2 linked regions of the Arabidopsis thaliana genome follow. The protein of the gene in region 2 interacts with the protein of the main gene of each other region in a pairwise test. Each region holds a gene or a part of one and is shown on either strand. Other genes may lie near its edges. The genes, in order: AT5G23710 and GDU3.

Region 1 (3,993 bases), about 15 Mb from region 2:
GCTGTTATGCTTGCATTCGCACAGAAGAGAACACCGAGTTTGGTTCGTCAAGGTATGTATGCTATATCATCAATTAGTACAGTGTCAAATATAGTCTGTTTTTACTAGTCATCGAGATCAATAGTCTGTTTTCTCCATATCTTACAGATTCCAAAGGGCATGGAGAACTCAGTTTTGTAGAATCATACGGTAAGAGAAGAGAGTCCAAACATGCACAATATATCATATCAGCAGTCAAACTTGATGAAATCCTTACTATGTTATCACATTTCTCAAATGCAGAGATAAAAGAAGGGGAACAAGAAGATGTTGCCTTTAAGCAGGTAGTTTCTTTATGCCTATAATTTCATAACTATAAGGTTATAATGTGACATTTTGTTACAAGAGATGGTAATTATTGGTATATTGTGGTTGGTAACTAAATTTATCGCGATGAATCTTGATGAACCGACGTTATTTGGTTATAAATGCAGGCATGGCTTATGTACTTCTGGGGTAGAGCCAAGTTGCATAGTGTGGAAGAAGACATTGCAGATGAACGTTTCCAGTTTTGGACCAGTCGTAGTGAAGGAAAATCTCCGACTTCACAAGATGCCGTTGACGGTAATAAACTTCTTCAATTGATTTCCCCTGTGTCCTAATTCTAGTTTTAATAACACATTAACTTGTTCTCTTTACAGTGGAACGAGGTTTGTTAGAGCTAAGGAAACTAGGAGTAGAGCAACAATTATGGGAAGCTTGTCGCAAAGAAACAGATCAGCTTCTTCCATCTTCTTCTCCGACATCTACTCTTTCAAATCACAACCTTGACTCTTAATTTAAAGATATCAATAGCATTATTCTCTATTGTATAACCGAAAAAACAAATCATCATAATCTAAAATCTTAAGTTTTAAACCCAAAAAAAAAAAAAAAAAGAGAGTGCTAAAAGTCTAACCATTTCTGAAAATAAACACATGTAGTGGGAGAGATAACACCATCAGGTGAACAGATCGCTATATGCGGACAAACCCCGCAAGGAATCGAAGCAAAAGCTCCAGCTCTCGGTTCGCCATTACCGAACTTTTTCCCGGTCAACCTGTAGCAAACTTCTCCGATTCTCGTAGAAGCAAACTCATTCATTCCATTACTCTTCACCTCCATGATCAAATTATCCAAAATCAAGTTCTTAAGTATCTCCTTAGTCTGATCAACACTCAGCTTCTCCTCTTTAACAAAATACCCACACAAAACCTCCAAAGTAACAACCCTCTGCCTATGCCTCTCCAAAATCATCACACACTTGGCTTTCAAATCTTCGATTTTCGACAGGTCAAGAGCTCCATCAGTGTACCATTCACCACCAGTAAGTTCACTACAAGGCTCAAACTCCATTGCAAGATAATGTTTGACACCTTTGTTGTTCATGTTTGCTACTTCTTTGATGAGATTCTTCTTCCGTAGAGAAGCGATCAATCGAGTAACTATAGTTGCTGGGATCGTTTTCTCGCGTTTCAATTCGAACATAGTTGCGCCTCTTCCTTGGTTTATTCGAATCAGATCCAGAAGCTTCTTCTCGTGTGGCTCGTTTAGATCACCTCCCGATGATTTCGGATCCGGACGTTTTCGTTTACTCATTCTTACAAATTCACCAAACTGCAAAAATCAATCGGAATTGTGACACGGTAATTGAGAGAATTCGTGTGATTTACGAAAAGGATTGATCTATACTATAAGAAGGTGATAAAATCGATGATTCTGAGATTACAAAGGATTTTGGTGAAGATTCAGATTCAATTTACCTGGAGATTGGTTTACTGGAGATGAACAATCCGATGAATATAGAGGCTTTAGGAGAGTTCAGAGAACGGAGAAGTCGTCCGTGACTGGAACGGATACGAAAACCCTAGGTCTGCTTTTAGCTAAATATATAAGACAGAGAAGAAAGTCAAATATATTAGTGTGGGCCTAAACTAATACACAACAAAAGGTAACTCGAAGTGGATTGGTACATATTGTTCAGGATTTTTGTTAATTCAATATGAGATTTCGCTATACAAGTTGGTTTAGATAAAAACATGTAGATTAAAAATATTTATTTTTAAAAAATTCAATTTATTTTTTAAAAATAGAAATAATTATAAAGTATTAAAATAATATATAATTTGCATAAAATTTTGAAAATAATTTATATTGTAAAACAAAAAATTTGGTCCAAAACAATTTATATTGTAAAACAAAGAAAGTATATATTTTTGATTTTTTACTAATATTTATGCTTATTAATTTTCAGAAATAAGTTGACAAAAAAATTCTATAAATATTTTATTTTATTAGACTGAACTTTTTCAGATTAAACCATAAACTTTAGTGAATATTTTTTAAAATCTAAAACCATTTTTGTATAAATGTTGTTGATTTCGACCGAAATAGTTTCATACAAAATATAGTTTTAAATAATAACACAAAACGGAAATAAAATAAAATTAGAAGACAGTTCTGTAAATAATAATATGTTTATTTTTTTAAATCTTGAATAATGAGAATAAAATGATCAGAGTCTTTATTACAATAATAAATTTATGAAATTAAATATCCGTCTTCTTTCTTCGTCCGACAAGTTCATATTAATTAAAGATACCTTGAGACTTTCCTCTTCTCAGATACAAAGCTGACATTTGAAGAAAAAGACATTTCTAAAATTAAACAGAACCTAAGCTTTTGCAATGGCGGAACCTGAGAAGAAGCGAGATCAACCATTTTCTCAAGTAATCATCCTTCATTTTTCCCCCACAAATTTAATAATCTATCATTATCACCCCCACCTTTTGCGTTCATCATTACCCCCACATTTATCTCTCCCTCTTTTCGCAGAGCCAGATTTTGATTTTGATTTTTTCCCCTTTTTCTCTGATCTGATATTATGGTGCTATCGCAGGAAAAAGACGAAGAGAAAGATCTATACCTTGTTCACGACGAGCACGAGTCTCCTCTTCCTCTCACCGTCACTTCTCGTGTAAATTTCTCCGATCCTAAATTCGTTTTAGGTTTTAGGGTTATATTAATAGTCTCGTCTTAAAAATTGGAAGACTTTTGGAATTTGCAGGTTTTGTACATGTTAGGAGATATAGCATCTGGTCCAGCTTATAGGTTTACTCAATGGTTGGATTTAGTTCGTAAACGAAGTGCTACTTACGGATCCTCTGGCTTCCCTCACCGCCTTCACCGCATCGATGATATGGTCACTAGGTTAACACTTTCTCTGACTTTTTGTCAAGTACTTGGTTTGTTGATTATGATTTTGGAATCTTATGAGTATATCAGAACAAAGGTTTCTAAATTAGGATATTAGTCTTCATGTCAGTTGATACAAGTATTATCCAGTGCAGGAGAGAGGAATACTGATCCTAAAAGTCCACCAAGTAGGCAGAGTTCAGAGATTAGTTTGTGGGAAAGGCTTGGTAAAGCTTCTACTGTGGATATTGATTCGAGCTGTTTTTCATGGAATATGTTGTCTTCACTTCATCATACTGAACATAGTAGTAGCACTGATCATTCTGAAGAAGACCAGAGTAAACCACTTGAGGTATATATATCATTATGATCTTGGACTGGTGATGCTAGGAGGATCTTTTGACACTATTAGATGTCTGTACAGGTTACTGTGAATTCTGGAGGAGTTGTTTTCTTTGCCCTGTTCAATAGTTCCAGCTCTGAAGATGCCTCTCGTAAGGAAGAAGCAGCAGTTATTAAATTTGCATCATCGAGGATGGCCACGCAATCAGAACGTCTAGGTTATGAGTTTTCCAAGTGGCTAGGGGTGCAGATTCCGCAGGTGCTTCTTTTCTTTCTTGTAGTTTTTTAAAAATGTAGTAATGGTTTTGCTCATTTCACTTTCTTTCTAGAATTTTCAAGTAATGAGTAATCATCATGCGACAGGCTAGAGTAATTCACAGCTGTAATCCTGAGTGGACACTGATCAAAGAAGCCACTGAAAAAGCACAAGCTAAAGCG
Region 2 (3,958 bases):
GTGTTTTTCAAAATATTTTATTAGTAGTCATCTCATTGCAGTTTGGATACCAGAAAAATATAACTTGTTTCAAATCGAACTAAAATGTTTTGTCGCGAATAAGTTATACTCTGATCTCTTAAAACGAGTTGTCTAAAAGTTCGGACACTCTCTTTTTAACTAGTAAAACAAACTATTGAAACAAAATTTTAACATCATAAAGTGTGAGTTGTTTTCAATTGTTCTAATCGTTTTCTCAATGTGTTTGACTAATCGAGAAAAAGCAAATGATAGGAACTTGACCAAATAAACTTTGATCCAAATAGACTGTGCAAAAACATGGGACCATTTTTGTTATCTCATCTATAATTTTTAAAATTATCATTGATGAGATAATTGAGACCTCAGGCATATGGTTTGGTATGTTGTTTCCAGCTTTTTTTCATTGGGGTTTCCCACTTTCCTTTTTGATGATATATAAAATTTTCTGTACTCCTCTAATATATCATTAAAATATTTTAAAAACGTAAAATTTGGTATGTTCTTGTTAGAATGATGATTTTGGTGCATAGTGGATTTTTTTATATATGATAAAATCAATAGTCACTTGTTAAAAGCAATTTATGGTGGTGGTGGGCTACCGTCTGTTTTTTCATTTATATTTATGTGTTCACAGTTCACGATGAAATATGATAACATATATATATATATATATATATATATATACCTATCATAATTATTTTTTATGCTGTATATATGTGAAAAAATTGTCTATATATAGTAGTTAATTAATTATGTATATGAATACAGCATGAAAAATTATTGAGAGCGAGTGTGAGTCTTGTTGTTCTTGCTTTGCCGAGTTTCAAGGTCTCATACGAATTCATTTGCTCTTTAACAATCATGCATATCTTGCATATATATCAATATGTTGGAGATACAATAAAGTTGGTTATAAATATGTATAGTGGAACTCGAAGTAAGAAGATTTAAACAAACATGTAATTTTAGTTGTTTTAGGTAACGTTCACTTTACTTGTTTGGCGTTAACGGTTATTACGTTTCCGGCTATCTCTTCACGTTTGCATCGCTCACCTAAATTTTAGCGGCTTTAACGGAACCGTTTTTGGTCAGTCTCTTGTCCTTATCTTATTCCCCTTTTAATTGCCTCTTTTAAACCCTCTTTCTTCTTCAGAGTGTTTCTTTATCTATTAGCCATCAATCATTGGTTTTTTTGTTCTAGTTAAAAAATTCATCATTTTCATGACTCTTATGTTTTCATGTCTCACTTTTCCACTGTAAATTAGAAAAATAATTATTAGCCAAGTAGATGTTGATCTTACGCTGTACTAGTAGAGAGTATAACCACTCAGCAGATATTTTCTGTAAAGTCATACTATATTTTATTCGAGTGGATTCGACACTATGTGAATGGTTGTTAATTATCTAAAACAGTGTTTAAGTGTTACAATAAATGATTACTAATATTATAATTCCTTGGAGTATGATAGAATCGAAGATATTTTTTGAAATTATCCACTGATTAAGCTTAAAAAGTAGTAAGGAATACTGATTAAGAAACAGACCACATTAATTGGGTCCCAACTAATCACCGGCACCTAAACCAACAGAAGCTCATCATTACACGGCTTGCTAACTATACATAACATTCCTCTGTAAAGCATGTAGTTTCAATTTTTGAAATATATAAACCCTTAACCTTGCTGAGATTATAAATGTTACCAATCATTTTTAAAATGCTATTGCTGTGAATGTGAACGTCGATTATTTATGTAAACTTCTAAGTAAAACACATACACACATTACTCTAGAAAGAAAAAAGTAGATATGTTAGTTATCTTTTATGTTGGTAAGCGACTCAAAACGGACAAAAAAAAATGAGTATGGTAAATCTCAACAGCCAAAAAAAAAAGTTTACCATTGAATTAAGAATTTTCTCTTAAAAATATGTTTGGAAATCATAGGAAAACTTGTTAAATGTTTATTTTTTCATTTACAAATTATATATATATTCAGTGGTTAATCCTTTTGTACACACCATCTCGATTACTTTAGCAAACGGCAAAAATAAGACATAACATAAGTTATGCACTCACGTCACGACTCCATATAATCATTCATGATAACTGAGAAACATAAAAACTGAATTCATATTGCTTTTTTCTCCAACTCACTCATTACATACAAATACATAAATAAATAAGAAAAATTTCCATAAATCAGAAGTAAAAAGAATCTCATACGCAAAATAATAAAATTAAAAATTGATACGTCACACACAATCCACAACGTTAATTCGCTTCTTCTCTTCTATAAAACCCTTCCTCACTCATCTTCCTCCTCACACCAAAACATTTTCCTAAAAAAAAAAAAAACTCAAAACTCAAAACCATCTTTGTGAAAAAAAAATGGAAGGAAGACAATATTACCCTCCGAGAGAAAACGTTGAAGGAAACAGAACCACCATGGGAGGAGGACCTCACTCACCGTGGCATTCACCGGTTCCTTATCTCTTTGGTGGTTTAGCAGCGATGCTTGGTCTCATAGCTTTTGCTCTTCTAATCCTCGCTTGCTCTTACTGGCGTCTCTCCGGTTATCTAGACGGCGAGGAAAACCAGAGCAGAGAGAGAGATCTTGAAGTCGGAGATGTGAAACCTGACAAAACGGCGGTGAAGCCTGTAGCTTTGCCGGAGAAGTTCTTGGTGATTATGGCCGGAAATGTCAAACCTACTTACTTAGCAACGCCGTCGGTAAAAACGTGTACTTGTGACGATGATGACGATGAAGATGATGACGTGGAGGGAAGTGATCAGGTGGTGCCGCGGAGTAGTGAAAGTAACGGTGAGACACATTGACAAAACCAGAGGAAGGGAAGAGAAAAACAGAGGATCGTCTTATTGTGAACAGTTCTGAAGAACTGTTTGCAGCATCTGACCCGGTTGCGTCGGGTATTCGGGTTGGATCATAACTCTACTTGATGATGAGTAATATTGGAAAAAATTGGAATTGGGATTGAATTATTAGGAGTTGTTCTGATCAATGATGTATTTAAAAAATCTTAGCTTTTGCCTTTTGCATCGTTAATTCGTTTTTTTTTTTTTTGTAAGTTTTGTGCCATATCTAGGTCATGATGAGGGATAAAATGTAAATTTCTGAGACTTTGAATGTGAAATTTGTGATTTATGGAATTGAGAATGAAAAAACAAATAACTATCTGAGACTTCAATGAAAATATCTTGATTATTTTAAAAATTCACCAAAAAAAAAAGGTGATTAAATGATGAAAAAATTGTACTGTTCCAGTACATGTTTTTTCGTGGGATTAATGTGACAATTGTGGTCCGAACAAAAAAGAAAACAGAGAAAATATCAAAAGATTCTTCAGGTGAGAAAATTGAAGTGAGGACTACAGGCACGTGTGAAGGCACATGCAGAAGAATGTCTGATTTAATTTCTCTTAGGTGTCTCTAAATTGATGCGGCGAGGTGAAGCAGTTAAAATTAGCTTCAATCAACGACCCTAATCGTGTAATTAATCTCCTATAGCATAATTCTTATCAGGAAAATATTTTATAAGTTTCGAAAATGACTTTTAACTGCACTAGGTCTCTTTTCTTTTTTCCCTTTCAATCTTATCTTGTAGGCTGTAGCCCTAGCTAGGTTTCTTTTTTTTTATATTACTTTAAAGCTATGGATTCTTTATTTATACATTCATCTAATGAAAATGGATTACCAACTATTAATAGTGAATATTCGAGTTCAGAAACTAGACTTTGATGAATAACCGTCAATCTTTTGCCTCTTCTTCTTTGTTGCATAACAAATAGTTTTGTTTTATCAAAACAGAGTATTTTTATCAATTTAACGATATATGTTGAGCTGCGTAGACTTGTAATCAAGATGTTCGATGTAAAAATGTTTTTGGATTGGTTATGGGTCGAGAAAATAAAGTTGGCTAA

The links.
Region 1: the proteins of GDU3 (region 2) and AT5G23710 interact in a two-hybrid assay, tested with the Arabidopsis thaliana proteins (one large-scale study listed by BioGRID).

What each region holds. Positions count from the first base shown.
Region 1 is NC_003076.8:7,995,604-7,999,596, forward strand, and holds AT5G23710 (DNA binding / DNA-directed RNA polymerase), read right to left. Parts: upstream 1,903-3,993; 5' UTR 1,782-1,902; exon of another isoform or gene 1,636-1,781; 5' UTR 1,618-1,635; coding exon 925-1,617; 3' UTR 818-924; downstream 1-817. Other genes in the region: AT5G23700 (coiled-coil protein), read left to right, coding at 1-52, 148-323, 474-603, 681-817; PHS1 (dual specificity protein phosphatase family protein), read left to right, coding at 2,706-2,747, 2,918-2,995, 3,086-3,228, 3,364-3,565, 3,638-3,814, 3,919-3,993.
Region 2 is NC_003076.8:23,365,253-23,369,210, reverse strand, and holds GDU3 (glutamine dumper 3), read left to right. Parts: upstream 1-2,147; 5' UTR 2,148-2,408; coding exon 2,409-2,855; 3' UTR 2,856-3,406; downstream 3,407-3,958. UniProt on the Arabidopsis thaliana protein: Probable subunit of an amino acid transporter involved in the regulation of the amino acid metabolism. Stimulates amino acid export by activating nonselective amino acid facilitators.